Linked DNA regions of Lepisosteus oculatus. The protein of the gene in region 1 purifies or fractionates together with the protein of each later gene. This does not show direct contact. Links are inferred from orthologs where the notes say so. Each region holds a gene or a part of one and is shown in the gene's direction. Other genes may lie near its edges.

Region 1 (8,285 bases):
TAATACGGAGAAAAGGAATTTGTCTAGAACACAGTCCTGAACGAACGTGCACCAAGAAACCTAATAAAGAACATTTCGCTTCATCTCAACATTTTACGTCTTGTGTTTTAAATGAAAGTCCGATGCTACGATTAAGTGCGCTAAGGTCTAGGCCCTTGGGATTCAAATTAACATGACAGGAAGGCTCAGAACCGAACGTCTTCATTCACTCAGTAACTACAGTATTGAAAGACTTGTGGGAAAGACAGAACAAGGCGTCTGTAACTAATTGAAAACTGGTATTAATATTAAGAGTCGATAATCATCCTTGAAATTGTGAAATAAATTTAGAAAATCAAAGCTATCTTCACATTTTATTTGTACACAAGTTACAAAAGTACGTGAAAACAGTCGTCCTAAGCGCCCTATTACAGTAACACAGCGATCCACGCCGACCGTCACCAGCATCAGCACAACACACAGAAGCAGATGTGCTTCTCACTCCTCCTGATGTGTTGTTGCGCCGATAAAATGGTACTGGTGCAGTTTTTAACCCACTTTACAATATTTTGGTCTATTTGAATACAATATTTTAACTAGATCAGGAGTAAGATTACGAACGAGGAAAGGCCAGTCGGATCATGAACAGTAGCTCGTTTACTTTTTAAGCAGCTAATTGATCCAATAGTCTCTTTTCACGAAAGAAGGCTGGGTATCGGCTTCCACATCATATCAGGATACCATGTTCCGCACTCCCATAACATTTAATGCAAATAAGTTAATCATCGAAATCGAATGGAATACTAAAAATTAAACACCATAGTTTTTCAAAGCCATGAAAAATAAAAATCAACTGATAAGCGACACACACTGTGATTGGTAAATAAAAGCGTTCTCGAGCTAATACAGGCAATATTGGACAAGGGCAAATCTTCAAATGCATGAACTCCAGAGACAGACGCTATCGCGCATAGCAATTGAAACGTCATATCTCTCATTAACATTGCTAAAAAGATTATTCAAAAATATAGCCTCATACACCCCCGAAGTGAACCACATCAAGGAAGTGCAGGGCACTCTTGCAAGCACAGAAGCTGCATAATTCCACAAGACTTGGCACTGTACTACAGGAACTTCCCCATCCTGCTGCTGATGGAGATACTGCAAAAAGTTGTTCTGTTCAATTGAAGCCCTGGTGCCTTTGTCTTGTGTCAGGAAAGAGCGAAACCTGTTTAAAGGAACTGGCGTGTAGTTCGAGGTATAGAACAACAGAATCGATCTGACAGCTTTGATAAACCCCCTTCTAACAAACACCTCGATCTGAGACAAGTTGATTCGCTTCCACGTTGCTACCATCAGAACTGAAGATTGTCCCGAACTTACACTACTGTACATAGCGAACACAACGAAACCTAGAGAACATACAAATTAGGACTGATGAAGAAAATTATCAACTCAGTCCCCGACACATTAATCAAAAATAACTTTTCCAGTCATCAGCAGGCCTAACGAGTTACCGCCAACAGCTGAGTAATGCGTGAAGTATACACGTCGGTAAAAAAAAAAAAACCTTTAACCTACAGTGATTTTTTATGAAGCTGTTTAGTGGAAATGGACATTTTGACGATTTCAGACAATTTATTTTGCTTATGAAGCAGTAAAAAGACACAACGAGACAGAAACACCGAGTCTTGGTGGTGGGGTTCATACATTAACGCCCATACCTGATACGGGGTGTCACAGGGCGCAGTTTGAGGGTGAAGCAGCGCATACGGTAGGACACGGCTGTTTTACGATTAAAAGTGACGTGCTCTATACAATTCTCAAGAGGAAATATGCTTTTTAGCTTATTTCTTGGTTGATACAACAGAAAACCTTTTTGATAGTTTACAGTTCAGAAATAAATTTCGTGGCTTTTTATTAGTAATCTTCACAGCGACTGTAGCTATTTTACTTTTGTGCGGTAATTTAATATTCCTTTTTTAATCTGTAATGTAAATTAAACCCATATAAATCTCACCTAACGTTGTAGCTTACTGAAGATGCTGCGCTTTATATGCGATTTTCAAGTCTAAATCACCACTTATGATGTTTCCAGCGAACAACACCGAAAAATGTGCTCGGTGTTCCTTTAATAAATGAAGACGATATATTACTAAATAAAATTATAATATACTGTATTTTACTTACATCTTGGAAAATAGAAAGTCCTTGGACGGGATTCTTCTGCAGTAGCTGCTGCTGGTGTTTGGAGTACAAGTGTTGTTGCTTTGCAGACTGGAGGCACATCGTGATTATCTCTGTGCATGCCATCATTTTTAAACCCTTGCAAGAAAGATGTGTGTACAGTATCTAGAAATCGTTTTTAAACCCTGTTCGCAAATAGGTCCGAGGACACAGGCGATTAATTTCTAATTTGTGCGGTTTGGTTTCGCTATTCAGTGCTCGAAGGGATCTCCTCCTGTCATCTGGGAAGAATCTTGCCTAAGGAAAGGAATACTGAGATGCCGAGTTTGTGCTTTAAGATGCTGCTCCGCATCCAAGCAACTTTCCTTCGTTACAAAAAGTAACCCCGCCCTCCACTGACGTGATTGGCTGGCTCCTTCCAGGGGCTTCTTTAAAGCAAGCGATGCACAGAAGGCTTCTCTTTCATTGCGCATTTAGGATGGCTACAGCCTCTGGCATTTTTGAAAGGCACAATCGGATTACTGTTTCGGGTTATTATTAACTTGTTCTTCCACTTCAAATTCCTATGACGCAGCCTGTGTCAAAGGAATTTAATTCTGAGTCGTTTTAAAGACATACCAAGAAGTGACTAATAAATAAAACTATTCGAAATGCTATGCTTAAATGATTGATGGAAAGCATTGTTTTTAGGGGTTGCATTAAGTATAGTATTGGGAAGCGCTTTGTTTTTTATTATACGAGCTTTTTCCAGACCGACAGCTCCACCTACTGGTAACTACGCGATTTTAAACCGTTGCCTTTTGCGAAACCATTATCCTGATTTTAAAGTGCCCTTCCTGTCGGATCCTTGATTGTTGCGTTGAAAACATCAGGCGAAAACAATGAAGCAGTTGGTTTCTCTTCAACTAGACGTGGAAGGGAAAGTCTGTGTCCTGAGCATGAGTGTGCCAAAAGGCACAGACACGACAAACTAAGTGAGCTTCAGCATCAATGTAAAGCACAAAGAGTGCAGTTGGAGCTCCAGCACCTGAATAAATTCAATTCTATAATCAGATCACTAGAGTCCTCACGATGAATGAGCCAGGAACTCAGCAAGACCAGGGAAGCAGTGTTAGCCGTACTGACAAGGAGGAGTCTTGCCTTCCAGCTAGTTTTCCTTAGTTTAGCTGATCATTTTGCTCTCACTGGCTCGAACAATAGGAACTGCCCTTGCATGCTGTGTTGTGCCTCTAGGAACAGAAAAAACAGGTGGAGCAAGACCTGGTAGGCATTCCACAGACACTGTCCTCGCAGCTCAGCTCCATCACGTATAGCAGCTTTGGTGGAGATGGTTTTGGGGCAGCTGTTGTGTGGGACTGAAGTTGTGATGAGCGACTGAAATCTGGGATTGAAATCTGGGGATTTGTTCTGGCCAAGGAAGACGATGCAGGCCTTCTCCACACTTTTCAAGCTCAATTTGCATGCTGCCTGTAATTGCTAACAGTAACTGATGGTACTAACTCAGAGTGCTCTCTCAGATCTGCCTTTTGAATTTTCAGTGGTAATGAAAGGTTTAAGGATAAAGGTGGTTGAAAGCAGGATGACAGCCAGCTGGCTTCTTCAGTTCACTTGTCCACAACAAGTGGTCCTCGATTGGAACCTGTATTTCATTATCCTTGACTTGTGGGTTCCTCTGTCTGTAGTGGAGTCTTGGTTTTCACAGGTCTCCTCTGAGATTCAGACCACTCACAGGCTTCAAATTCTTCTCTCCAAGGGGCACAGAACCAGAGGACTGCTGGTCTCAGACACCTTTTTTCTTCTTAAACTTAATGTACAGTTTAGAAAATGAAAGCTTATGTGGACTTGGAAGAAGACCCCCCCACTAGTCTCATGCACTAGAGTATGAGATGGAGAAAGAAACTGACTAAAAATTTATTTCTAATATAATCATGCAGTTAGGGGAAAAATATAAGGAGGTTGTTTCCTCTCTAGATATTGTAAACCTAGAAGATTTTTGTGAGCAGCAGGTTGACCAGAATAGCTTCCTCTTTTTTTGTAGCTCTTCTTACGCTCTTGTCCAATCTGTTGTCCAATCTGTTATCTAATCTAGCCAGCAGCCATATCACCCTGCAACTCACAACTGGCAACCCACTGAAGCTAAGCAGGTGTAAGCCTGGTCAGTACCTGGATAGGAGACCTCCTGGGAAAAACTAAGGTTGCTGCTGGAAGAGGTGTTAGTGGGGCCAGCAGGGGGCGCTCACCCTGTGGTCCATGTGGGTCCTAATGCCCCAGTATAGTGATGGGGACACTATACTGTAAATAGGCACCGTCCTTCAGATGAGATGTAAAACTGAGGTCCTGACTCTCTGTGGTCATTAAAAACCCCAGTGTGTTTCTCGAAAAGAGTAGGGGTATAGCCCTGGCGTCCTGGCCAAATTTCCCATTGGCCCTTACCAATCATGGCCTCCTAATAATCCCCATCTACTTCATTACTCTGCTCTCCAATCCCACTGATAGCTGATGTGTGGTGAGCATTCTGGCACACTATGGCTGCCGTCACATGCTGCACGTTGGTGGTGGTGGAGGGGTGGAGTGGGTGGTGGTGGAGTCCCCATTACCTGTAAAGTGCTTTGAGTGGAGTGTCCAGAAAAGTGCTATATACGTGTAAGCTATTATTATTATTATTAATCAGTGCACTGTTTCATGTTAGGCAGGCAGTTAGCTTCATGTGTGATGTTCTGCCAACATTTTTGAGGACCACTTTCCTCTGCTACCACCCTAACAAGTAGCTAAATATTATGAACATAGTCAATCAGTTTGATAAGTTCAGTTTATTTTATTTATCTGATATGTAAATAATAATGTCTAGCTTTGAAGATATGGATATGGCGTAAGACCGAAGAGGAATTTGGACTTGCTTAATATGTACTGTACTTACACTAAAAATGTGCTGGTACAGGAAGCGACCTGAACGCAATCTTTTTCCGAGCCGCCGTGACGACCAACAGATGGACCAATCAGAGGTCCGGGGTCTGTTTACATTATCCAATCGAAGACCGAAGGAGCAATCGTTAGGTGGGGTTCCGGTATGCGTCACGTAAACGTGCGCGTCATCGTCGTGCGTCATGGGCGGCCCACCTTCGTTTGTCACGTGAGAAGGTTACGAAGATGGTGGAAGTTTCTTCCTTTGAGTGAAACTGGAGTGGATCCCAAAATAAAGAGGAATACAGCTCTTCAGGGATACACAGAGATATAGTACAGCAACGCTAGTTTCCCCCTAGATACGGGTAAGATTTAAATTTGTATAAAATGCCTTAGTAGTCCATCTAAAGCGCTACTGTTTAAAATATAGTGTATGTCTGCTCAGTCGCTGTCGATGCGTTTTGGCTACTTCGTAACTCCCAGGTGCCGAACTGGGTCTGAGACTCGGCTTAAACCGATCGTTCGAATATGTTTGTATAATACGTATGGTTTAATTCAATAAAAAGATCACAAATTCATTGCCAGTTGAATAAGTGATACTCACCAGGTAGTTGTCACTCTTCCCGACCTAACTTTTGACGTTAGACTGTTATCCCAAGCAGGTAAACACCCGACCGTCGAGTTTCTGCTGTGTTCAGTGGGGTTGTTTACAGCGTCAAGAGAGGCACTGTTGTCCGACAAGAAATGACAGTTCTTGCGAAGGTCAGGCCTTGATGTGTAAAAAGGGGATTCTTAAATTATTAAAGAAACCGTGAAGGTGATTTATTTGCATAAATAAGACCGCTCCGCTGAACCAAGTACGAAGTCCTTCTGGTTGAACGGGCAGGGTGTTTCACATTAACTATTGTATATGGGTGAGATCTTATTTTAGTAAGAGTTACTGGTCTGTAAGTCTGTCTCTTACATCTTTTGATGTGTTTTTATACAGTATTCTTCGAATTGTCGACATTGCTGAGTTATTTCTCAACAAAATGACCATTATATTCGGTACCAATGTACAGCTCAACACGATAAGAAGTGTTATCATATCTATGAATGAGGTTTCGGTTCAGTGCATTGATATGTAAGGAAATGGAGTGCACGACACATATCAATGCATACTAATAAGGTTCTCTTACACCCTTATGGTTATATATATATAATATGTTGATATTTTAGATATAATTTTTACGCAGACTGTACTTTAAAGATGATTTGTAAACGTACACGATTTTTGAATAAAATGAAACGCGATGGTTAGAAGTTGCAGTTCTCCCCAGACAGGTCAAGCCCTCGTTTGCATAATGCCATGAGTTCATGGTCGTGTACTTTTTAGGGTTGTTTGTGTTGTCAGTGCTCTGATCAGGAAGCGCAGAGTGAGTCAGACCAGTAAAGGAAATACTGTTTGAAGTTAGTTTGCAAACACAATTGCGTTTTGTGAATTTCTGAAGGGTGCCGAGAACATGCAGTTCTATGCTTCGTGTACCCGATGGGTTCATAAAGACCTTTGTAAGTATTTGGATGTGTATTTGTATGATTGGCATACTGTACAGATGTACAGGTAGATCTTTTTTGCTCTGTAATTGTCAGAATTTTGTTTTTATTTTCTTTTTGCCCTGTGTCCCGTTGCCTTCGATCTGTGTGGTTCTCTTGCTGGATGAGCTGCGTGCTAGTCTTGAAACGCGTCAAGACCTACTGCAGGGAAGAATGCAGTACACACACACACCAGCCATACAGAATGCATCAAGGGGCTTCTGCAAAGCACAGTCTCTGAAACCCATGTTCACACATAATGTCTTCTAAAGCAGCTAAATGGAGTCGTCTTCAGAAACGTTTTTTTTTTCCGCTGGAGTATTGTATCAAATGAGAAACAGTGGAAAGCTTGTGGATGACAGGCTACTGCAATAGACAATGGAGCACGCGAGAGGGGAAAAGTAAAGTGACTACCCACTAGCTGGAAGTTCAGTCAGTGAGGAAGGTTGTGGACACTTTATAGTATTTGTAACATATAATGTTATTTATTTAGAAACGTGTTTGCCTCACTGAATGTGACCTAAGGGCCACAAACCATGATTAAGTTCTTTTTCCAAGACCAACCTTATTTAAAAGTCATCTGAAACAAGCTTTACAATGTGAACATCAGAATTGACTCTAAAAAGATAGATGCTATGATCAATGATTCTGGAAAACGTTAAGGAACAGTTCTTTTTTATGTTCTGTTACTTTTTTAGTGTTTTTTTTTGTAAAAACTGTTAACGCAGATTCTGTATAGAAAGGAGGGCGGGCAGAGTACATGCAGTTTACCTTTTGGGCAAAAAGACAAAATGTCTGTCACAATCACAGACCTTCCACATAATTTCTTTAAAAATAATCCCTTTCTTGCACACACACCAAAATAAAATATTCCCGTGGTTCCTATTGCCCAGCTTTGTCAAGTAGTTTTATATTGAAGATGCTCAAGTTAGGAGCTGTCAGTTTGCGAGCTGCAAAGGAGCAGGTAAAGGCTCATTCCAGCTGAAATGTAGAAAAGAACAAATGTTGATTTTCTTTTTACTTTGCTGTTTTGCACTGAAATAATGTGTGTGTGTGTGTGTACAGAACAGGCTTATTTGTCCAACTTGATGTGTGCCTTGTATAGAAGTAGTTTCAAGTATACTGTATTTTTGGGATGTTAGAAACTTTCAGCACAGTACAGCACAAATCTCTGGACAGGAGCAGTTCAGCTTTCTCTTCATCTTTCTACAGTAGAAACATTTATCTATGAAAACAATATTGTTTCTTATTTTCTGGTCCTGAGCAAAATACATCATTCCTGCTTTTCCCTGGTATTTGGGCCCTCCTCACCTGTGATAAAAAGATACGCAAATCCCTTCTAGCAGAACAAAAACCAGTAGAGTCACTCGTGAGGAGCTGCATGTGATTCCATCTCCTCTGTGGAAAGATAGGACTGCACCTTTGTCCCTGTGAAGAAATGATCTCAATCTCTGAGCTTTTCTTTTTATCATTGCACCATAAATACAGTACAGTAAACAAAAGTGTTCTCTTTATTATTATTATTTTTTTTTTTGCTGTGGGTCAGTGATAAGCACAGTGGCCACATAGTTTTATATTGTGATATAAGATGTCAATCTATATTTTAATTTGGGTTGTCACTGAGTTCTCTTATGTACCTTCCACTA
Region 2 (8,294 bases), on another chromosome or scaffold:
CTTCAAATCTCTGGTCTGCTTCTCTCATACAAAATAGTGCTGTCTCTCTAGAAATAGGGAATTAACTGTCCATAGTGAACAAGTACAATATTCCAATTTGATCACAAGTGATGGCAAGTGGGAACTGAAGTAGTTTGGACTGGTACAGCGTGGATTCTGCTACTTGATTCTTGTGAGTGTACCTTTCTTAAGCATAACTTATATGCTCTTCATGCAGCTACATCTAACTTGAAAGTTGTAAATGAAATACTTGTACTGGGATCCTTTTCTTTCCATTAGGTGGTGCTACTCACCACCATATTTCCCAAGACATGCCTTTTCTGCTGTTTAATTAAAGGCTTATATTGTGTGTCTATCTCTTATGATCATATACACACTTGTCGATTACATTCACAACCACTTCTTAAAGGTTTCTTTACATTACTGAAAGGTAAGAAATCCATATTTTTATGTTTGTTTGTTTTCCCTACAGTTTTTTCATTGTCCTAGGTAAATCACATCTCCTGATTTAAAAACAATCATTAGTATACACATGAATATACATAAAGTACATGTGAGAAATGAATCTGTAATTTTATGGGTGGTCCAAAGGCTAAAGATCCAAAGTAGCTTTCAGGTTGGCAGTTGGAAAATAATTGCCATGGGTAAAGATAGTATAGTGACCCAAACAGCAGGATACTTGCAGACTATCTGGCCACCTATTAGCTTAAGGGGAACCACAACAGGTTCTTGACTCCCAGAACCAACAGTGCACCCACAGACCTGACAAGACAGTTACCCTATCTAATGTCCCTTTATTATATTCTATTAAACTAGCAGTTATAGTATTGAGCATCACTGCTGACATGACAATTTTTATTCTTACGTCATAAGAATGCACAAGGGGAACACACCATAACACACAAACCCTTGTGAACCACAGTTACCCAAAGCCAAATGTCCCAAATGAGAAGTCCAGCATCACTGTTCTCCGAAACAGCCCCAGTGACCTCCTCCATTTTGTTGCGGAGAGGAAACTTTGTGCAGTCTTTCAATGGTATTGGGAATCCTCTTTAGTCCAGGAACAAGTAATAGGTTTATTCCATGCTGAAGAGAGAAGAACAAAAACACAACATTTCGGCTGTGGAGCCTTCCTCGCGTGTGAGCCAAAATGTTGTGTTTCCTTTCTTCTCTTTTCAGCGTGGAATAAACCTATTGTTCCTTTGCAGCCTACGCATGCTGACGCAGATGCCCACCTGAACCTCTTTAATCCAGGGTGTCATGAACAAAGTGGTCCTTATGCCACCCCCACCCTAATTTCTCTAAGTCCATTATCGAGTAGGGAGAATGATAGTGATGCCTGAGGCTTCCTCTTCTGCTATCTGTAGTTCTTCTCTGTCAGTTCTCTGCTTGAGTCTTTCTGACAAGGGGTTATAAAACTCCCTTCCTGGACATCGCTCAGGGCTTACTGTGAGGTATGGGTGGGGTTCTTGTGATATCTAGGGTCAAGGCAGAGCCAACAGCTTGGGGCTAATTAACAAACTGACTGTATGCAGATAGCCAAATGTCATGGAGCTCTGTCTTTTGTTTTTTTCCTGCCCCCTTGGCTGTCAGAGTCTCCATGTAACCATGCACTCGCCTACACATTACAACACGCACTGTTCACTGCAATTAATCTATTATCCAATCACTTTTCCCCTTTTCACTGGACTTAAACCTTTCTACTGCACCTTTCCATGCTCACTATTGAGTTCTACTCGCTTGAGCTAAATCTTCCTTGCCGCTTGTTTATCTCACCTCTTCAGATTACGGATTTTGCCTTCCTAACGACTATGGACCTGCCTTACGGATCCAATCTTGGTTACTTGATACTACTCTTTGCATTATGGATCTTGGCCCTCCTACTGACCACGGACCTGCCTAATGATTTGGACTTCAGTTAAAGAACACTTTCTCTCTCTTGACCCCTTACACCAACCCCGCACAGGGTCCTAATTTTCCACCTACTGGTCCTTGACATCAGCCCCTGGTCCAGTCTGCAGTGGCTCAGTACCACAACATACTTCAACATGCTAACCCCTATTGTGCGGTGATTGAGTGGCATCTGAGAAAACTGTCCTTCAATCTTTGCTAACTAGCACCTGGCTTATTTTTTTGTGTTTGAACACTTTGATTAGAGTGAGGATACACTGGCCACTGTATGCCACCTAAAGTCAGTCTAGTTCCTGACATCTTTGGTTTTGTCATAATCATAAACGTTTATTTATAATTAACGTTTATATAACTGACAGCTTTTAATTCAAAATTTAATTTTTACTTGGATACAACAAACCACTAGATTTATTAAGACTAGCAAAACTAAATATGGTATGTTTGTTTTTTCTTTTAGATTTTTGAAAATATGTGCCAATTATATTGGTTCATGGGCTTAATAGGTACATTTACCCTAACAGTTTTTTTGCATATACATTTTACACAACTTAAAATGCTCCATTCAAGCAATTTGTTGGTATAAAGATTCATTTAAGTAAAGAGCTAAGCTGTAATGAGAAACTAGCAGGTGTGTGGATCCACAAGATCAGAATTGGTTCCCCAGAATTATATCCACATAGCACACTTGAGAAGCATTTTGGGACAGATAGTTACCTGCTCAGCTGTAAAACAGGATGTGACAGATGTTTCTCTTACTGGACAGAAGTGTTCTTCTGTAGCAGGGTGAAGCAGCTGACTTCAGCCAACAATTCATTCTTGCCCTATAATACACCATTCTCAAAACACTTTAGAAACATGCTGACTGTAAGCATTTTCCTGAACATTGTTCAAGCGTAGGAATCCCCAGTCCTGGAGAGCCACAGAATGTATGTTTAGGCCAGAAAGACCTAGTTTGCGGGAAATTGCCTTCATTGAGCGCAGCTGGTCAGCATACCAGTGGGCACAATGAGTAAAGGAGATGCTCTGAGTTTTAAGAGGAGCTAAGGTGTCAAGAATAGTCAAGAAAAATATTAAACATTTGTACTTTTTTTCACCTTAGAAATATCGCAAGACTACGCCCTATGCTATCATTAACTGTGGCTGAAAAGCTGATCAACATATTTGTATTCTCTCGAATTGACTACTGCAATGCTCTGCTCCCTGGGGTATCTAAATCTACTCTGAACAAGCTGCAGTATGTCCAAAATTCAGCAGCCAGAATCCTGACCAGATCTAGTGCAAGTGTTCACATTACTCCTATCCTGGAGTCCTTGCACTGGCTTCCGGTCAAATTCCGCGTAGACTTTAAAATCCTCATGCTCACCTACAAGGCTTTACATGGCTTGGCACCTCAATACCTGTCTGAACTTTTATCGCCCTACTCCCCACCTCGCAACCTCCGCTCTTCAAATTCTGCCCTCCTTACTGTCCCCCAAGCCCGTCTACATTGTATGGGCGACAGGGCCTTCTCCTGCTATGCCCCCAAGCTCTGGAACTCCTTGCCCAAGGATATTAGAGAGTCACCTTCTCTAAACTCCTTCAAATCCAGACTCAAAACCCTCCTTTTCAGAAAAGCCTTTACTTAACTGCTTCCATTCTTCACCCCTCTGCTCTTCTTAATACCATCTTCCACGGTCTCCTCTATTGTTATTGGTGTATTGTTGTAATTATAATTGTGTCCTGTCTTGTGAAATTTTCTTATTTATTGTTGTAGTCTTCTTATTTATTGTTATTGTCATCCTGTAAAGCGCTTTGAGAAGCCACCTTTAAAGGCGCTATATAAAATAAAGTTTATTATTATTATTATTATTATTATTATTATTATTATTACTTTGTCCTTTACAGAATCGGAATTCAAAAAGCAGGAAAATGAGGACAGAGCAGAATTTGCAAACATTCATTGGTCAACTGATCACCAGCTGCGAAAATACACAGAGCATGAGAGTGAAAAATGTGAAATAGAAAATTCTAAATCAAAAAGAATAGTTAAGTGGTTAGAATCCAAAAATAATTAATTTCAGATATGCACTCAAAAATGCATTATGTGTGTTGTCATTGTAGAATCTCTAAGGCTTCAATGAAAATGTAGAAGCATTTTCCTGGACATTGTTCAAGTGTGGCAAACCCTGGTCCTGGAGAGCCACAGTCCAGCAATTATTATACATCATCTTTCCATCATTTTCTAAAGACTCAGAAGATTTTAATATTGATTAATTCAACATGTTTATCGATTCCATTTATATCGGTTGGTTAACTCTTATGTGCACATTTCAAGAATTTAAGCAAGGATCGTCCATCAACAGTCATGGAGCGTGTTGCTGTATTAATTTCAAGTGCTCTCCACACTAACTAAACAATTCATCTGCTGAAGTGAAAACTATTATTTTAAGAGTTCAGAAATGAATTTGACCCATTACCCGGTACCCTTTTGCTGCTTTCAAATGCTATACTGTAGTGTTTTATTTATTATCTCAGGAGCACTACCCTGCAAAAGGTATTCCACACAACATCTTCAGAATTGAAGCCCTCATTGTCAAGCATGGGAGGTTTTATGTTTGGGATGATTTGAGGGACGCTAAAATACCATCATATTACCGGTAATTTTGAGTTTGCTTTAACCTAACTTTCGTAATTTTATTTTAGGGGTCCATTAACTCACCCAAAATATCAAGAATGTCACCTGTTCCAAATAGAAGTTTACTTTGAAACACTAGTAATAGGTGTGGCTTAGTTGTGTGTGTTAACTTTCGTTTTGAGTTTAAGGTGGTCCTTTCCCTGGGTAGGAAGTATAAATACAAGGTGTGGTCCAGTTCGGCTTCGTGAAAAAAATTATACCAGAACACTATTCATTGCTAATAATTTATGTTGTGAATGTAGAAAAATAAAATCTAAAAATCCCATTGTGTGGTGCTTAATGTCACGATGATCGTAATATCGCACATAACCCAATTAAGACGTTCCCCCTAAATACAATAGTTTTAGGGTAACACGCCTATTAAAATATTCCTATGTGTGCCCCTAAGATAAAGTATTTACTCGAAATGGCTGTACAGATTATATGTATCTATTCTTAATATTTCTAAAACGTGGTAAATACAAAAAATGTCTCCGATACACGTCAGTGTTAGTCAAGAGAACATTTCCTCATATCTAAGTTACAATATACATTACTAGACTACTAGATTTAAGCTAGTGGTATACTGGATGTGGTTGTTAGACATTTAATTTTACGCATAAATTAAAATGTATACTGTCGAAACTGAGGATGTGATTTTTCTTGGGTCCCCAGATATTACCATAACGCTTGGGGAACCTTTTCTGGAATTTCCATTGAAAGGCCGTTATCAGCGGAATTCCACCTTAATAAAAATAGTATTTCGCTTTCTTTTCTATTTTGTTCACATCTAAATGGTTACCATCGAACAATGTGGTATGTTCATTGTGATTTACATAGTGTGTAGTCATCGATTTGCATTCTACGATTCACGCATTCTGGTCAAGAGACAACATGTAATTACTTTTAAGGTAATCCGAAGTGGAAATCCTGTTTGCTGGGCGGGGTTCTTCGTTACTCCTCCAGTTTCGCAAGTAATAGAGGAATTAGGAGGTCGCAGTATTTAAGCTTTTTTAATGTTATTTGTACTTTGAATTAAACTAATAAGAAGCACTTTTTAAATCGATTTTTTCTAGACTTTAACCATAATAACAGCGCAATGTAACCATCTTGAAATACGCTAATACGACAGAGTGCATTTAGGTTTTCTTTTGTGATTCTTCTGTGTTTGTGTACACCCCGTAGATTTATGGTACTTAATTCCAATTAGAACTATCGTATCATCGTCCAAGTTTAATGTCACGTAGATTAGCACTATGTGTTGCATAAGTAAACACAACTGTTTGTAAAAAAAACAACGTTCTCTCAGTCCCAGCGTTATTCTTTGTTTCTTTCTGCGTGGGCAATTTATTTCATTTTCGATTTCAGTAAAAAATGTACTAGGAATTTTAGTGTCATGGAGACAAAGTGACTCACATCCCTTTTCTTGTGTTTTCTACCACGTATGTCATTCACAAATATAAAATGGAAATACCAAGTAAAGTCCTTATTTATATAACCATCAATATTTCATTGTCGGTAAGCGCCACGACCACCGAGTTTACAATTGAAGGTAAAATTATGCAGAATATTATGTGACCTTGTTTCGCATTGCTTTGTAAAGATCAGACCAATGGAATGAAAAACGACTCAGTACTTTTTAAACTCTGAGAATACAATCCATGCCTAGCTACAGATATCGACTTATTTACTATTTTTTTTGTTTTTGATATTCACTGTCGTGTTTTAAATGTTTTTTTAAGTTACATTGAAGTCGGAGAATGACATTTAATAAGGTGGTTTGTCGAGTCGCAAAAGTATTTGGCAGCTGTTATCTTACAACACGTGAACTTTAAGCTTGCAATTTAATGTGTCGTGGTCTGACGTAAATCTTCATTTCCATATTCTGTATTTTTGTTTCAGGTATATACAAGGTACACTATGTGATATTGAAGGACAGTGTGGACTCCTGTTTTATTGACAAAATTCATAGAGTCATGAAGGTATGAAACAATAAATACGTACATTTAATACATGCGCTGAGAGGGAACAGTAGGAGCCCATGAAGAGGAGAACTACATGTCTACAAGTGCATGTCACACAGTGAACACATGTACTAGGTGAACTATATCACTGAACTGCATTTTTATTTAATAGCTGTTTACTTCTGTGGGTAGAATTACAGGGTCTGAAGGATGTGGACCACAGTATGAGTTTGAATGTGATCAAATGTTTTCTCAAGCAAAAATGTAGTGTTTCCGTTTTGTTTCTTCTTTTGAGTCTTATTTTAAGTATATTGTTAATAGACGCTTAAAGCACAGGGATTTCAGTTCTTAACAGGCATTGATGTTCTCTTTGAATCATCAGTAGATTGAATGGTGAATTTGGTCAAAATAACATTTCTGCACAGAATTTAATATGTTCATGATTTGAAGAACTGGATTGTCTCTTACAGCCCAGAGGTTGAGAACAGTGTGCTAGGTCAAAGTGTGTTGTTACTTCTTCAGCCTTATGTATATAAAATATATACGTCAATTTGAATTAATTCAGAACAAGTATTAATTAAATTGTAAAACAAACTGATTTTTATTCTGAATGAAACAAACTAAGGAGTTTAAATTCAGATTGCAGTGAGTATTACAGTATATAGGCTGTTCCAATCATTTACTAAATAATTTATTTTGGTTCACATTGCCTTCCAAAATGGAATGTTGTTCTGTGGCATCTGCGAGTCTCACGTTCAAGAATGAATCTCAAGAATGCAGGCTTTTACAAGGACTAAATATATCTGGTATAGAAAAATATACTTACAGTGGCATATTTATTAAAAATAAATAAGATGCATATGGTGACAGTGCAGGGGTGTTTCCTCATTTTTTGTTTAAAAAATCCATTATGTAATAACACTGCTTCAGCTATTCTTTTTTCTCTTTCCCTGAAGGTTTTTTAATTTTGACTTTTGATTCTTAAATCAGGGCAGAAAAATTGTTTTGGGGGTTGAAAAGAAAACAAAAGTAACTAGTCTCCTGAAAAACTAGTTAGTGGTTGATACAATAATAATTGGAATAATAATTAGATTACTGGGTCTCTATTATTTGGTTGGGGGGAGTTTTATATCTTTTCTTAATAAAACCTACTTTTTCTTAACATTTAACATCCCAAAGTCAATATTTTATTTTTTTCATTTTTTGGCAGATGGTATTAAAATGGAAACAGCTGCAGAGATTCGAGGTGGACAATAGGACAGTCGAATAGTCTGTATTTTGATTTCTAGCATGAGAGCACACAATTGCAATGGCTGAGGGACATTTATCCCTAACAATTAATCAGATTGCAGATGAGCTCAACTCTGAAGAATGCAAAACATTATTTTATTTGTGCGGCAACCTGGACAAGTGCAGTTCAAATGAAGATGTCAAGGACATGTTAAAAGCTCTGTTAAAAAGTGGGCAAGTGGACCATCAGTTTTTGTTGTTGGAACTTACATACAGAATCAAGCGTTTTGACATTTTGAAAAGGGTGCTAATGACAAATAGAAAGGAAGTGGAAAGCATTCTGGGAAGGAAATGCTTCATTTCTGATTACAGGTAACTTTAATTTTATTTATTTGAGTGATGCATTTTGTTCCCTCTTAATCTTTTCAGTTTATTCACCTGTTTAATGTAATAAACCCCAAGTCCAGATGTTTCATGAACATTCTGTTCTCCATACTTAAAAGGAAAATGAAAGAATGCCCATGTCTGTACATTAG
Region 3 (7,818 bases), on another chromosome or scaffold:
TTTGCTTGGAGGGGGCCCTTACACAGGGTAACATTAATTTTTAGTATTGTAACCACAAGAAACAGACATGCAGGTACAGATTGTTTATACTTAACCCAGTCTCATCACTATTATCAATGAATGCTTTATAGAACTTATGTAAAGCTTCAGCAGCATGTTGTAAATTTCTGATTAATGTTGTATGTATTGAACTTCTTACCTGGATTGAATCTTTTTTCCCCACAAATAAGTTGTTTTATGTCCCCTGAAATCACTTTTTCCTAAACACTTAGCTACTAGATTTATTTATTTAGGTTCTCGAATGAGTGTTTTTTTTTTCAAATTAAGTTTGAAGGTTACTTAAATCTCCTGCTTTATTGTAAAGTGTTCCAAGTCTTTAGAAAAATATGTTTTAACCAAGAGAAAACAGTAGCTCTCTGCAAGTTAGATCTCATTATGTAACTTTTTTCTACTTTAATGTCTGATGTATTAAGGGCTTCTACCTCTCAAGTTCTGTTTTCCAAGCTCTTATCCATTTTATCTTTGTACTTCAGGGCCTGGACTGTGGCCCAGAGAGCTCAAAGAAGTTTGCAGAAGCCGTGGGGAGAGCCAAGCAGATCGTGTGGAACGGACCTGTAGGAGTGTTCGAGTGGGACAAATTTGCCAGTGGAACCAAGAACCTCATGGATAAAGTGGTAGAGGCCACTCAGAAGGGCTGCATCACCATTATCGGTAAGTAAAGGCCATCTTCAGCCTTTCTTTCCCAGATATATTTTCCATATTGTTTTCTAAAGAAAACTGCTTTCAAAACTGTGGTGGCTTCTCACAATTCCCAGAAAACCTGGAAAATCACATTTTATTTCCTGGCTAGTAAGTGATGAACAATGATAACAAATTGTTTATTAACTGGATACAGTAACCCCCCTCCAATTCAGTTTCTCTATAAAGCACAAAATAAATGTAACCAAAAAGTGCTGTATGAAGTATATGCTATAACATCGGTTAATCCTTGAAATATATTCCACTAGGCTGCATGCCTGTGTCAAAATCCTGCATTTTTCTCAGGAATCCTGTGGTATTCCTGGGCATCTTTGTGCTGCTGCCAGCTTCCTGGTCCATACTCTGTTTCTCCTATGCTTTACAGTGTTTCGCTGTGCACTTTCCTTTGTTTCAATTTGTAGTATATTGTTCCTGCGTTGTGTCCGCAAGTTATCAGCCTGTGGTGATGCTGAAAGCATAAAAGTAGGAAAGTGCTAATCTTGGCTGAGAAAATAAAGATTCTGGATTGGCTACAAGCTTGCACATAGGCACCTTCACTTGGTCGTGAGTTGGGGTTAATGAATCTACCATGTTAAAAGAAGAGGATTGAGGAGGTTTTACAGGTCCAGGCTGTATAGATTCAAGAAAAAAATAAATGCAAAATGTAGAAGCTCTAGCATTCTGTTATTTGAAAGTATTTACATCTTATCGGGAAGTTTCCAGTATCAATTGTTTGCTTATTTATTTGCAAACAAGATCTATATTAAATTGGCAAATGTTTGGAATTTCAGTGAATCTAAGTGGGTATGGATTCCACATGTGGTGAAAAATAGCTCTTTAATTAACTGAAGATATTGGAATAATCAACATAAATACCTAAATATAGACTGTTGAGGGTTATGTGGTTCAATTAACCACCCCCTAACATTCCTGACTTCAAAAGGAGATTTAGCTTTTGAAACAGGATTTGGACATTTGGCACTACCAGAGACAACTGGAAACGTCCATTTTGCCTCAAAAGTGAATCTAAGTAAAATGTTTTGTAATTGCAAACCAATTCAACCACTAGATGGGGCTAAGGGGTACCTATAGCTTAGAATTTAACCTCCATAGGAAATATTGCTAAATACTGAATAGTTCATCTAGTGTTTTGGCAGGTATGTGACCAGTTAATTCACATCTAAAATCTGACCTCTTTTGTGTTTAAATGGATGTCTCAGAGGCGTGAAGTCGAAAAGACTCCTAAAAGGTGTTTTTTCCGTCTTTTAAACTTGATTTTAGTGATCAATGGTATTTTAAGAATTTACAGAACTAAAAACATTAAAACTGTCCACAGGAGTGGTGGCACATTGACCTTAAATGTTTTAAAGCTGCCTGAATTGTGCTGGGATTTGATTGGACCTTTTGTGAATTGTCATGCTGGTGTGGGGGCTATAATGGACAGCTCACGTTGCTGTGTTCCTATCCAAGGTGGGGGTGATACGGCCACCTGCTGTGCAAAGTGGGACACCGAGGACAAGGTCAGCCACGTCAGCACTGGGGGCGGAGCCAGCTTAGAGCTGCTAGAAGGTATGAAAACCTGAGGCGCTGAGAACTCTGGGAGCTGAATTCTGAGCAATAGTCCAATGACTGCATAACATCAGATAGTATAGGCTCCTCCAGTATCCAGTTCACAATGATCAGTATTCCACTTTCACCTGGAGGAAACCCATGCAGACACAGGGAGAACATAAAAACTTCATACAGATAGCACCCCAGGAATTGAACCCAGGGGGGAAGTGGCAGTGATGACCACTGTGCCACCATGCTACCTTATGATTTTATTTTTAGCAAAAACAAGTTTCTTTATACTTTTGACATTGGACCAATAAAACAGGAATATCCTATTTTATAAATGGACATCTCATACAGCTTGCAGAATATTTCCAAAAGTACTTTGTCATTGTCTTGAAAAAAGTCCTTATTTCACAGAAGTACATTATTTCTTCGCTTTATTTTTTCAACAAGAGATGTGTCTTTGAGGGATAAGATAACTGATGTTCTGTACAATAATTTTAAATTGTTTTTCTCTTTTTTTTTTAATTATAATAGGTAAAGTCCTGCCTGGTGTGGATGCTCTGAGCAATGTCTAAAGGCCCAGGGGAGAGGAAGATCCTAGCCATGAGTTTCAGTGCACAGCCCTAGGGAACCTCTTACCATGAAACGCTTATCTAGTACTGCAGTAGCACAAATGATGAATTCCTCCCTCTGTACTGCGCAAGGGTTACAGAAAAGCTTTTAACTTAACTTGAAAGACACCTGAAAATGTGCTAAGACCCACTCTAGAGCACTTAACTGAGGAGGGGGGAGCTTTGCTGTTCACTCTCAAGCTGCTTTTTAAAAATAAAAAGTCTGAAAGCAACGCAGAACCCCTCTTTGCACTTTGCCTCATTTCTCAAAAGGGAGATGTTCACCTGAGGCAGCTGCTGGTTTGGAATTGGTCATTTGTGATCATGTTTATGTGTATATGTGTGCCTCACTTGTTAGCGTCTTGGAGAAGAGAAAAAATCCAAACGTTTGTGTAACTCTAGAATTTATATTTTGTATCTTTTTGCCTCTATCAACGGTTCAGTCTGTACTAAACGCCACCCCATGAGCATCTGTCTTGTTCTTTGGCCACAGCTTGTAGTTCTTTGGTTGATAAGATGTCTGGACAAAGTATGCAGATGAAATAAAAAGGATCAGTGTAAAAAGTCACTTGTTTTCTTTCATCATTGTTGGTGGAGATAATCCTAGAATTCACTATTTCTCCTTGCCTGCTTCCAAATGTGATTGATTGGGATTATGTTGTTTTTAATGAAAACTTTAACCTAAAAAAAATAAAAAGACCAGAAAACTAGGAATTGGATCCACTGGTAAGTAAAGATGCCTGCTGAGAAGTTCCAACCCTACAGTACAGAAGCCACCATTTCAAGTCTAGATGGTGGAAGCCATGATTCCACAGCCAATAGCACACAATTGGCCATGTGCAGCAAATTCTGTGGTTTTGTTGAGTTGGCCTGGGTAACGCATCACTCGCTTGGGACCTGCACATTTCTGTTTGTGAACCAGACAATTCCTTAAATGTTTATCTGAAGCATTCTGTAAGGTACTGCGAGACTTTGTAATGACTCAAATGAAAGTTTAGGAAAGAATGTAGTGTCCTAGGTCTACTGTTTGGCGGCAGTGGTGACCCATGTTTACAAATGAAAAATTGATGACATTCTCATGACAGTAGTGTTGCATAGTAGTGTTTTAAGGTGCATAAATTAGCACCTTAAAAATTGTGTTCTGTTGAAGCATGTTTGAAAGAAATGGTTAGAAGACCAAATGGGTTTGATTTTTTTTTTCTTCCAGTTAATCTATGTTCTGTAATCTTATTTTTCTTTGAAAAGAACGCACTGGTATTGAAGAACACAAACTAATACGTTTCATGGATACTCCACAATATTAAACTGTGTAAACTGACTGCTATAACTAGTCACTATGCGAAAAATGCTATCGTTCAGGAGTTTTGGAAGGGACAGATAAACGTGGACATCGTTGGCTGGTACATCACATGACAATGGGTATATCTTGGAACTTAGCATCTTCGTCTGGGTCATGCATACCTTATTTTATCAAGAGTGTGTATTGAATTAGCTATGTAATTAAAATTTATCAAGTTATGTCTTGAACAATGATGACATATGGGATTTCTTGGAATAACAATCCGAATGGAATAATTTATCCAAACTTGATGTTATGCTTCAAAGTGTTTAAAAATAATGTGACCTACGTTCAGATAGTATGATCAGGAAAGCTCTGTAAACCACACATTGACTACAATACCAACAATGCTCCTGACCAGCTTTGCTCTGACTCCGCCCTTTTACCTGCCCAGGTGAACGTTTCTGTGGGAAATTACATTGTCTTTTTAGAGCTGTAAAGCTAAATCTGGACATGATCTAGATGAACTAGAAGCGAGGTGAGTTTATGCAAATTATTCCATGTTCGTCGTTTGTGTCGTCTAATATACAAAAGAGTATTAGCTGGACGGATTTGCTTCTTGAAAAACAAGCGTACCTGGGTCACGGCCCGGCTCTTCGGACTCACGGACGTTGCAATCTGCAATGGAGTTTGCCGGGTACGCCTGGCAGTACTGTACGTGGCTTATGTACAAAGCCAACAAAATGGTCTCAGGTGTTTTCCTGTTTTAAACGCCCTATTTTAAAATACAGCCTTCTTTCAAAAAGCAGCATCGGGGTTTAAACACAAGAATGAATGTGATTCTTATACGTCTACTTCAATATAAAGGATTTTCTGTAAAGGCAAATGTATTACAAAACCTATGTACGCCGTGTATATCATATTGTAGTTTTCCCGTGAAATTTAAAAGTGCTTTTTTATATTGCAACATATTTTTGGAACTTACACAAAATGCTTTCTTTGTACCACTTCCTGGATAAAGTAAATGTGGCTTATTTTTTATATATTTGGATCTCTCCAACATATGGGGCATTCCAAATTTGAAATATTTTACTGGTAATGGGTAATATTCAGTCTATTAACAATTTACAACTGTTTAGGAATGCATCAACATATAGAATCGCCCGTTTCTAAACCAATTCAACGGTTAACTTGGATAAAAATCCAAGTCAAGACAATAACCTTTTAATTTAAATGGATGATTGATACAGTCATAGTATCGTTGGATCGACCATTCAAAAGCTCATGGTTATGTTGTAAACACTTGATGGAAAGAGTCAGTGAAAAAAGATGATGATGATTATTATTTTATTATTATTCCTCAGGCCACAGAAGGGGATAGGGCTGGAGACAGTCAAAGAAAACACAATGAGTGTTGTGGAAGAATGGAGTCCAGAGAATGTGGCTAACTGGATCAATCATATTGGATTCCCTGAACATGCTCTGAGCTTTTTAGGTATGATGTGCACTTTTGCCCCAGGATTACCAGAGTCCAAAATGGATTGCTTCTCATCTACATTGTCAAGGAGTGTTCAACAGTTTTTCAATTAGTGTTTAATTCTTTTATTAAAATATAAGAAATATATATTAGTGTTTTAATAACATGAACATAAATTATTTCACTTAAAAACCATCAAGAAATTTTATCATCTCCATAATTATGTATAAATTTAAAGTAGACCCCATTTATTTGAATGTCCATACATTTTCTGTACATCCATGTTTCAACTACTTATTAGAATGTGTTCTGTTTTATTACGATTTTGCCCAATCCAATAACAAATATATTTTGTCTAACTTAAGGAAGCGGTAGTTACAGTTGTATGCAGCTCGTAATTTATTAAAGGTGAGAAATCAAACTAGACTTCAAGATTTCATCTGTAATGTCAACAGATACAGGGTCGAGAAAAACATAGTGAATCAGTGTATCAAATCTCAAAGAAAAATGGTATTTTCATAGTCTTACCCTGATGGCCTTCTTAAATAAAAAACACTCTTTCCGCAAGTATCCAGTAATGATTATAGTAACATATTTCTTGTCTCTTAAAACAAAATGATGTTTGAATTGAACAATGAGTAAAATTTGATATTGGGGAAAAGTTAGTGAACCCCTAGTTTAATTAGCTTAATTAAGGTAATAATTAGAATCAGGTGTTAAAATAATTAGGTAGACCTTGGGGGCTGAGTTTGTAAGGCCCCAACCTATATAAAGATCAGAAATGGTGTGAGTTTGGCCTTCACCATGCATGTGTTTGAAATAAGTCATGCCACATGTCTAAGAATTTCTCAGAGAACCTCAGAAAAATAGCCATCGATGTTCTTCAGACCGGAAAGACTAACAAAACCAATTCTAAGTATTTGGGGCTCCACCAATTCACTCTCAGACAGTATACAAATGAAGAAAGTTAAAAACCACAGTCACTCTACCCAGGAGATGTTGTGCTACCAGTGTCTCTCCAAGAATAAACTGGAGAATCATCGAGGAAGAACCCTAGCATAACATCCAAAGAACTGCATGCCACTCTTGCCTTCACTAATGTGACTATTCATAACTATCAGACAACTTTGGTTTGAATGGTATTCATGGAAGGATAGCAAGGAGAAAAATGTTCTCCAAAAGTAACATTGCTGCCTGTTTAAAGTTTGCCAAAGAGCACATAGATTATCCACAAAGCTGCTGGATAAATGTTCTCTTGACAGGCACGGTAGATAGAACTCTTTGGCCTCAATTAGGAACATTATGTTTGGCATAAATCAAACACTGCTTTTAAAAACAGAACCTCATCCCACCTGTCAACCATGTTGGTGGGAGCTTGATGGTTTTGGGTTGCTTTGCTGCCTCAGGATCTGGATGACCAACACAACCATGAATTCTGCATTGTATCAGAAGAGTCTAGAACAGAACATCAGGCCATCAATCTGTGATCTGAAGTTGAGCCAAATGTAAGTCTTGCAGCAAGACGGTGATCCACAATTCCTCACTACAAATGTGACAGACTGATCAGCTGTTACAGGAAATGTTGAGCTCCTGTCATTGCTGCTCAAGGCTGTGCTACCAGTTCACTGAATATAAAGGTTCACATTCTTTGTCACACATGGCTATTGAATGTTGCATTGTTTGAAGATAAATGTTAATAGGATATCATGTTTTGTGTCATTTGTTTCATCAGATTATGTTCATAATTAGGACTTAGATCAAGGTGTAGTAACATCTAAGGTTTCAATATGTGAAAGAATCTGAAGGGATTCTTGGCACTGGAGCGTAGATGATGAAAACCTATTATTGAGTTAATGTTAGCCAGATATTTTTTAATTTCATATTTTAGGGTTCCTTGTCACACAGCTCAACATCCCAAACAAAGGTCTGAGACCTAAGGTACATTCATAAACAACCCAGAATTACATGTTTGGAAGCATGTCACCTCGGATAAAAAGTGTAGCAAATAATATCTTACACCATAGGCTGTCTACACTGTCGTAATTCACATTCTGTGGATTTTCAAGTCTAAGTGAAAGTCTGAAAAGGCACACTACAGCCAGAAGAATCTGGGAACTCATTCTTGAGGCATCTGTAACGGCAACCCCGTTTTCTCA
Region 4 (7,485 bases), on another chromosome or scaffold:
CTCGCACCCAGGACTCCCCTTTGTGTATTTTTTTTATCCACCCCCTCTACACACATGCAGCAACATCCCCGCAAGCCTCCTCGCGCCGATTAAACTTGACATATTTTGTTCATTTATTATATTCAATGGGATCAAACCAAACTTCTGAAACAACATTTGGTGTACTTTCAAAAACGGTGTAACTTTAAGTACAAATATTTACTAGGTATACAGCTACAGATCCTAATGAATGCAAAATAGAGACAAAGAATATTGAAGGTTTATTGGAAAACATTTTGTTGGCATCACTCACCTTGTTGAGGGAATAGCTGGTTGACCTTGGCTCAGACGCCCTACCTTAACTGCCTTAGCTGTCTGAGCCTAGTGAAAAGAGCAGATCAGGGAAAGTCTTTTGTAAATTAGTGAGAAGTAGTCTTTAGCATATGTAACAACCACACCTGAAGAAGGCTTCACAGCCGAAACGTTGTTTTCTCTCTTCTCTTTTCAGCATGGAATAAACCTATTACTTGTTCCTTTGCAGACTACACATGCTGATGCAGCTACCCACCTGAACTGCTATAACAGTATATTTATACTTCAAACATAAATCCATGATCTCGGGTACTTAGGCTTTTAAAAAGTAAATGATCACGGTGCTCTCAATAGCCCCCTCTCATACGATGGCTGTGATTTAATAAGAAAGAACATTTTATTAATTAACATTTTATTAACAGTTCCCCGAAAAGCTAGGCTATATTAGAGCTTTGTGATTTGAACTCGACTGATAGATTACTTTTCTTCTGTCTGGCAATGTTAAAGATCATTTCCTCCTTAAAGCGTAGTGCAGTTGTAGCCTTTCAGGTCAGTCAGTGCAGACCCATAGGATTGTACTGGACAGCTAGATGGTTATGTTAGCACAGCTCTGCAGAAGGAGGGCAGCTTGAACAGTTTGTGCTATGAAACACGTCCGTTTGCTAATCAAGGAAACAGATTTATTTCTATAATAATCCCTATTTCTGTTCCTTCCTAAAATATTCCTAATTTTTGTTCCTTCCAGGCTATGTATTGCAAGCCTTGGTTCTCTAGTCCCTGTGCTCTTGTTTATTTGGGAAGTGTGTTACGTGAAGAAACTCAGACAGTAATTTTCCACAACTGAGAAAACCGCACAGCACAGCCCCTGGCATCAGAAATCCAAGACCACGTGTTTGTTTGTGGCACAGTGGCTTGTTAAGATGATACCTGAGCTGACCAAAGATCTTAAAACACTATTTTTGTATTTTTTTGTGTGTTTTGACTCCCTCTTCACAACAGCAGCTATTGTTCAGGACAGTGCGTGTCCATACTTGATTAAGGTTTCAGTTATTTCTGTTGTTTTTTTTTAAATCATCAGAGTGCTTTGAACTAGTTTTAAACTATTTTTAAACAAATCCCCCACAGAGCATTCAAATGTGTGTGTTCTCACTGTCACAAATAATTCAAAAGGAAGTGACATCTCATTAACATACAAAAGTGTTCCTCTGCACAACAGAAGATGTGTTCACCCTGACTACATGCAGATACAGTATATCAAATTCAACCCTTACTTGCTATATTGATATTCCCTCTGACCAGCCTGCATTTAATTTTATAATACTAGTCAAATGATACATTCACCAAATTTATGGAGGTTTTTCTTGACTAGATATTACCTATATTTAGTTTTTAGATGTGGTGATGTGTATTGTAAATATTTAACTGACTGGACCCTTTATTTACTGTTAGAAGTGCCACCTACAGAATATCAAATTCTCTCATATAGCAAAACCTGTACTTGCAAGGCTCAACTAATGTGTGAATAAATGCTTGTATCAGCAATGCTTTTGGAGTGGCACATGTATTATACAGATTCATTTATTAATGATTTATAAGCTATTGATAGATCTTGAATAAATTAGTTACTTACAAATATACCAAATTGATTCCATAAATACTGCAACTTATTTTGTATGAGAGATTCCTTCAAACTAAACTATCTGCCCTTTATGAATGTATTACATTTTCAGCCGTTCATAAAATTGTTTTTTGTCAATGAAATGAACTAGAACATAATGCGTTCAGTATATAAGTTTGAATTTTTACCATTCATGAAAATGCATAATATTCAGTTTATGCCACAGATGTCATAGTTTGTGAATTTGCTGGCTTAAATCCAGGTGCTGCTGTGCATGTCTAGGACAGTAAACCTCAGACCTGAAGAGAACGTCAAGGCTGTGCAGGTGCATGATAAAATTACTTTAAACAGCATTTCACGATGCTGTGTAAAAAAACAAAAAAATGAAAAAATGCAGCTTCATGTGGTCTTAAACAGATGAAGCTGTAAAACAGCAGTTGTGGTGAATCAACATTTTCTCAAACAACCAGAGTATGTTGTATTTTTATAACCAGATGAAAGATGGCTTGTAGCAAACTGACAGCACCTTGTCTGAACGGTTTTAGTCTGTAGGTGCTGTAAAACAATTTTTTAGTTTACATATCTTGATGTAGCTTTGTCTTGCCTATTTAAATTGTCTGGAAAGGGTGATTGTCTCTCACACAAGCTCTAGTGATACAGCTAAAGAAGTTTGTTTAACAGAAATTTCATGGAGTCTGGGCAGATCATGCAACTGATACCATAACAGTAAACTTTAGATGTGATGGTACAGTTGAAATTCTAAACACAGTGTAAACACTATGCAAGCAGTTTCTGTTGTCCAACAGCATTTAGTTTCTTCTAATTTAAAAGAGACACTTGATTTACAACAATGTGTAAGGTAAGAAGGCACATTAAAAATGTAGGAGAGACTCAGTACATTTTTAGCTGTTAGAAAAGTTTGGTCTGTCTGCTCTTCAGACCTCTCAAATATCCACTCTAAATTACAAATATTGTACTGTATGTTTAATGGCGGCGTGATGGCGTGGTGGTTTGCATTAGTTCTTCAAAGTGTTGGGGCCCTATTCAATTGCCAGGGTGTTATCTGTCTGGAGTCTGTATGTTTTCCTCATGTTTGCATGGGTTTCCCCCCATAGTCCAAAGACATACTGGTATATTAATCAGCTTCTGGGAAAACTGGCCCTGTGACTGTCTGTGTCTGCTTTTTGGGATAGGCTCCAGATCCCCTGCTTCATTGAATTAGATAAAGAGGTTAGAAAATAAATGGACCGTATATTTGCTGTCAGTGAAGGAAAAAAAAAACAGAAGTTCAAACTGTTGCAGCGACTGTATGTGCTATACTATACAGTATATATGAATTTAAAAAGCTGCCCTAACTACTAAACTCAAACCTTTTCTTGGCTTTCTTTTCAGGTTTGAAAGTGAAACAGGTAGAATAACACTTATTAAGTATTATTTGAAATAACTGAAGTTGTTTTAATTATGGAAACTTGGTACCATATTTTGTTAAAGAGGACTGTCCAGACAAGATATCTGCACAGCACTTTGTTCTTTGAAGGCAGCAGTTCACACTTTTCTTCTGAATGAACCACAGGGCACTAATGAAAACTACAGCATGTGGAAGTGCATTTAAAGCTGAGAAAGGAGGGCAAAGGGTTGTAGGAGTATGGAGCAATCTCCCTAGCCATGTTGTTGATGTCGATACTCTGGCCTCTTTCAAGACATGGCTAAATAAGATTATTGGATCAATTAACTACTAACTGCCAAACAGGCTACATGGGTCAAATTGCCTCCTCTCATTTGTAACTGTTCTTATACAGTATCATTAACCTACGAAACCATGATGTGAAGCGGATTTCCTGGGATCCATTGAAGAAATTGATTAATACATTAATAGCAAAAAAAAAAAGCAAACAAGATGGATTAAAAGGCCATTTTTAATTCACAGACAAGCAATGGTCCCTCAGTCTTTGGAGAGTTTGGGGCTCAAAGGTACATTAATCTTCATTAATTAGTTGATTCAGTTAAAGAACTGAGACCCAAAATGAAAAGTAGAAGACTCCAGTACTCACTCAAAGATGCCCTTTCTGCATCTAATAAATATCTGTCCCAAGCCATTCTCTGATAATTACTAAAGTTTCAACCAAATTATTAGTAATTCAAATAAACTGCAGCCTTAAACTGCTCTTTTTTAAAGCAGGGGTTCTTTCTTGGAGTTTTAGAAGCCTCTTAATAAGGCGCACCTGAAGTATCATATCAAATTATGTTCAACTGCTGTAATTAACCTATTTATTAGGTAAATTAGATTGTGAGGAGTGTTTTCTGGTATGAAAATCTACAGGACTACAGTCCTTCAGCACTGGGTTGGGGTCATAAAACCTGAGCTTGAACACTCAACATTCTTGGACATTCTGAGGGGAATGTTAGCTCTTTGTGTTCCCAACAGTGTGCAATGCTTCTTAACGGGCACATAAATATCTGGTGGTTTCTCTCTGGCCACCATGTGACTCCTGAGTGACGAACAGGAAGGAAGCCTGGCTCGAGGCGTTGTGTTCTATTTGTTTCTTCACTTTCCTTCTCTAGACAAACACCAAAGAAGTCGCATCATTTTGAGAAGCCAAAATGATGTCCAAACCAAATTCTGTTGATCTGGCCTTTGCCTATCGGGGATTTTGCTGTGATATCCGAACTGCAACCTTTAGCATCGGTGTATATTACCTGGTAAGAGCCTTGCCTTTGATCTCAGATGCAGACATCAGGTGCATTCAGTGTAGAGCTTGAGTCAGTTATACTGCTATGTACCAAAACAGAAACCAATTGAGCTTTTATACAAAACCATTTGAATATTCCTTCTCAATTGTTGTCACTTAATTTCAACTCATGGGACCTGTTCATCTCCTGTTTTCTTTACGTGAGTTTCTTTTCATGGATTTGAAACCAACGGGTACAAACCATATAGTGCTTTATCAAATTAATTTGAACTTGGTGAAAAAATCCAGTATTCCAGGAATGTGTGCTCATACAAAGAATATCAGAAACATTTGATGAATTTGGAGCTATAAAGTACTTAAACTGGAGAAGTGTAAGGTGAAATGAGGTTAAAACTGTATGTAAAGGAGGCTCTTTTCTAGAATTAAATTATCATGCCATTTAGCTATAAAAAGCATAAATGTGTTTTAGTGAGATATTCTAGTGACTAGTGTCAAAGATAAAGTACTAGCAGCAACAATACCTAATGTTCGCTATTATTTTTACTTTAATACTTTGCCACCTCCTTTATTGAATGGGGTTGAATAAGCTGAATGTTTGAACCTTTTCTTATGTTCAGTAAGCAAGAAAAATACAGAAGACCCATACTATTAACATTCTGATCTTAATTGCTTCACTTGTCTTCATTTCATAAAAAAGTACAGCCTGTCAGACTTGAGTGAATAATTTTAACATCTACCCTGCTGAAACCAGAAGCATTGTCCTATAATATTCGGAAGGATTTTTCAAAACTGTGACAGCCTGTCAGTATTCTTAAATATAGAAATTCAAATCAAGAAATCAAAATACCTGAAAACATTGACAACACAATATGAATTTTTTAACCGATAAAAATCCTTTTAACAAACTATACTGTATGTGCAGCTGGGAAAAGATCACCAGCTTGTGTCTTAAATTGGTTAATTTGCATTTAGAACGAAGCTAATTACAGTATTTTATTAAAGCTGGAAACCATGTCGTCATTAAATAAGTTTTTTAAAAAATTATAAATAAGTGATGGTGCCCACACTTTATGTAGTTATGTGTCAGAATGCATAACTCACAAAAATATCAACCCTTCAAAACTAGGAATTCTATGTTCCAGGAAAAAATAATAATTCCATAGTGAAGAGAGTGGTTTATTCAATTTATAGTCTTGTTTATGTGTTTTTCTGTGAATGTGTACCTTCCTGTTATGACAGAAACAGATGAGGGCAGAACTGTTAGTACTGGCAACTCTCATGTATAAAAAAGAAATGTCTCTGTGACTGGGAGCTATTTACCATAGATCACCAGTGTTCAATAATTACTCTCCTTCTTCCACATACACACCTGTTTGTATGTTATACTCTCCCTTCGTCCACTCCCTGTCTCCAAACTTATCATATTCTAATGCCACCCTTTGTAATGTAACCCGTTTCAAATTCCAACATCCATATGTTGAGCGGTGCTTAATAAATGGAAAGAAAAAGATGAGAAACTTATTTTTAATGGATTGTTTAAAAGTGACAATGTGTATGTAGGAGTAAGAGTTCAGTAAGTAAAATGCTTGAATTTAATATTAAATATGACGTGCATGTACACACTACATTTCACATTTACAGGAACAATGAACGATATACACACAAACTTAGGAAACAGACTGAAATCTTCCTTCATTGTCACTCAGATTTAATAAATAATCTGATCTCTAAAGCTATTCTCTACCCTAAAGTATGGCAAGGAAACTAATGAACAGTGTAACTGTACAGTTAGGGAGGGTAGGTCTGTTTCCTGGAAAATTATCTTAGAACACTTCCTTTAAAATAATGCTGATATTTATGAGCACAGATAAACATTTCCTTCCTTGAAGCAGGTAAAAGATTCAAATCACACTGCCATGGACGCTATAGTGTGGCATTGCAAGACAAGGTGGATCCTTTACCTTATCTTTCCCCCATTATGTCAAAGTTAATAGTATGTTGTGTTTTGCCAGCTTGTGAAGACAGTACAAAATATTCCCAAAGGCAAAATTAAGTATTGTATGTCTCTTGATTGTTGCTGTGGCAGGGGTGCCATTAATGGAGTCTTTATACTGATTTCTCTTAATCACTTTCTTCCCTCAACAGATCACATTAGTTTATTCAACTAATGATACTGTCAAAAGCAGACAACAATTAGCTACAGCTTGAGAAATAGGAAATCCTATACCTTTTTTTTCTGTGTCATTCCTCTCAGCCTCTTCTCCTTCACTCATTGTTGGCGGTCAGGATTTATACTGTATGTGCAGATGACTGAATCTTATCCTAGCCCACACAATATTTTGAGTTGATTTGGTACATCATATAGGTTGAAGAAGCTACTAATCCAATTGCATGAGTACATTTGGATATACAAAGCATGATATTAAACTCTAATACAGTAGGTGTATAGTAATCTAGCATCTTCCTTTCAAAATGTGCACAGTGAAAAACACTTATAGACATTCACACCTTCTAGGGTACTGTCTAGCTTTAAAGTCTTACTATTTTGAAATAGGACAATTTGTTTCAAACCAACATCTTGTATAAAGTGCATATTTAGACCTTTTGCTAGGATGTTGAGTCACATATAATTTGCCTGTCAAATCAAAACTACGGAAGAAATAGTGTGCCCTTATTTTGAGAAATAAATACTAATTTGAAAGACATCACTGGTCGTGAGATTCATGTATCATGAGTGCACCTTATCTGCCGGTTTCAATCTTGCAACTTGTCTAATGGAAAATGTTTGCAAAGGGGAAGTCAGACACTCACCACAGAAGACATGACCTGGAGAATCATACTGTACAGTTCCTCCAAGCCTAAACTGATATGATTCTCAGTATGATT

Evidence for each region.
Region 2: the proteins of itcha (region 1) and CASP8 and FADD-like apoptosis regulator purify together in Homo sapiens (affinity purification with western blotting; 8 studies listed by BioGRID). This does not show direct contact. The link is inferred for Lepisosteus oculatus from reciprocal best matches to the Homo sapiens genes ITCH and CFLAR.
Region 3: the proteins of itcha (region 1) and amot purify together in Homo sapiens (affinity purification with western blotting; 3 studies listed by BioGRID). This does not show direct contact. The link is inferred for Lepisosteus oculatus from reciprocal best matches to the Homo sapiens genes ITCH and AMOT.
Region 4: the proteins of itcha (region 1) and lysosomal-associated transmembrane protein 5 purify together in Homo sapiens (affinity purification with western blotting; 3 studies listed by BioGRID and IntAct, with this or other methods). This does not show direct contact. The link is inferred for Lepisosteus oculatus from reciprocal best matches to the Homo sapiens genes ITCH and LAPTM5.

Annotation. Positions count from the first base shown.
Region 1 is NC_090711.1:15,290,724-15,299,008, reverse strand, and holds the start of itcha (itchy E3 ubiquitin protein ligase a), read left to right. Parts: upstream 1-5,277; 5' UTR 5,278-5,432; intron 5,433-5,671; exon of another isoform or gene 5,672-5,783; intron 5,784-8,285. Other genes in the region: necab3 (N-terminal EF-hand calcium-binding protein 1), read right to left, coding at 2,170-2,295. UniProt on the Homo sapiens protein: Acts as an Acts as an E3 ubiquitin-protein ligase which accepts ubiquitin from an E2 ubiquitin-conjugating enzyme in the form of a thioester and then directly transfers the ubiquitin to targeted substrates.
Region 2 is NC_090707.1:26,008,055-26,016,348, forward strand, and holds the start of CASP8 and FADD-like apoptosis regulator, read left to right. Parts: upstream 1-5,284; 5' UTR 5,285-5,475; intron 5,476-5,509; exon of another isoform or gene 5,510-6,116; intron 6,117-6,466; 5' UTR 6,467-6,546; intron 6,547-6,553; exon of another isoform or gene 6,554-6,663; intron 6,664-7,738; 5' UTR 7,739-7,837; coding exon 7,838-8,130; intron 8,131-8,294. UniProt on the Homo sapiens protein: Apoptosis regulator protein which may function as a crucial link between cell survival and cell death pathways in mammalian cells. Acts as an inhibitor of TNFRSF6 mediated apoptosis.
Region 3 is NC_090703.1:34,849,560-34,857,377, forward strand, and holds the start of amot (angiomotin), read left to right. Parts: upstream 1-4,631; 5' UTR 4,632-4,723; intron 4,724-5,549; 5' UTR 5,550-5,592; coding exon 5,593-5,680; intron 5,681-7,818. Other genes in the region: pgk1 (phosphoglycerate kinase 1), read left to right, coding at 534-711, 2,209-2,307, 2,830-2,870.
Region 4 is NC_090706.1:9,721,042-9,728,526, reverse strand, and holds the start of lysosomal-associated transmembrane protein 5, read left to right. Parts: upstream 1-4,444; 5' UTR 4,445-4,510; coding exon 4,511-4,609; intron 4,610-7,485. UniProt on the Homo sapiens protein: May have a special functional role during embryogenesis and in adult hematopoietic cells.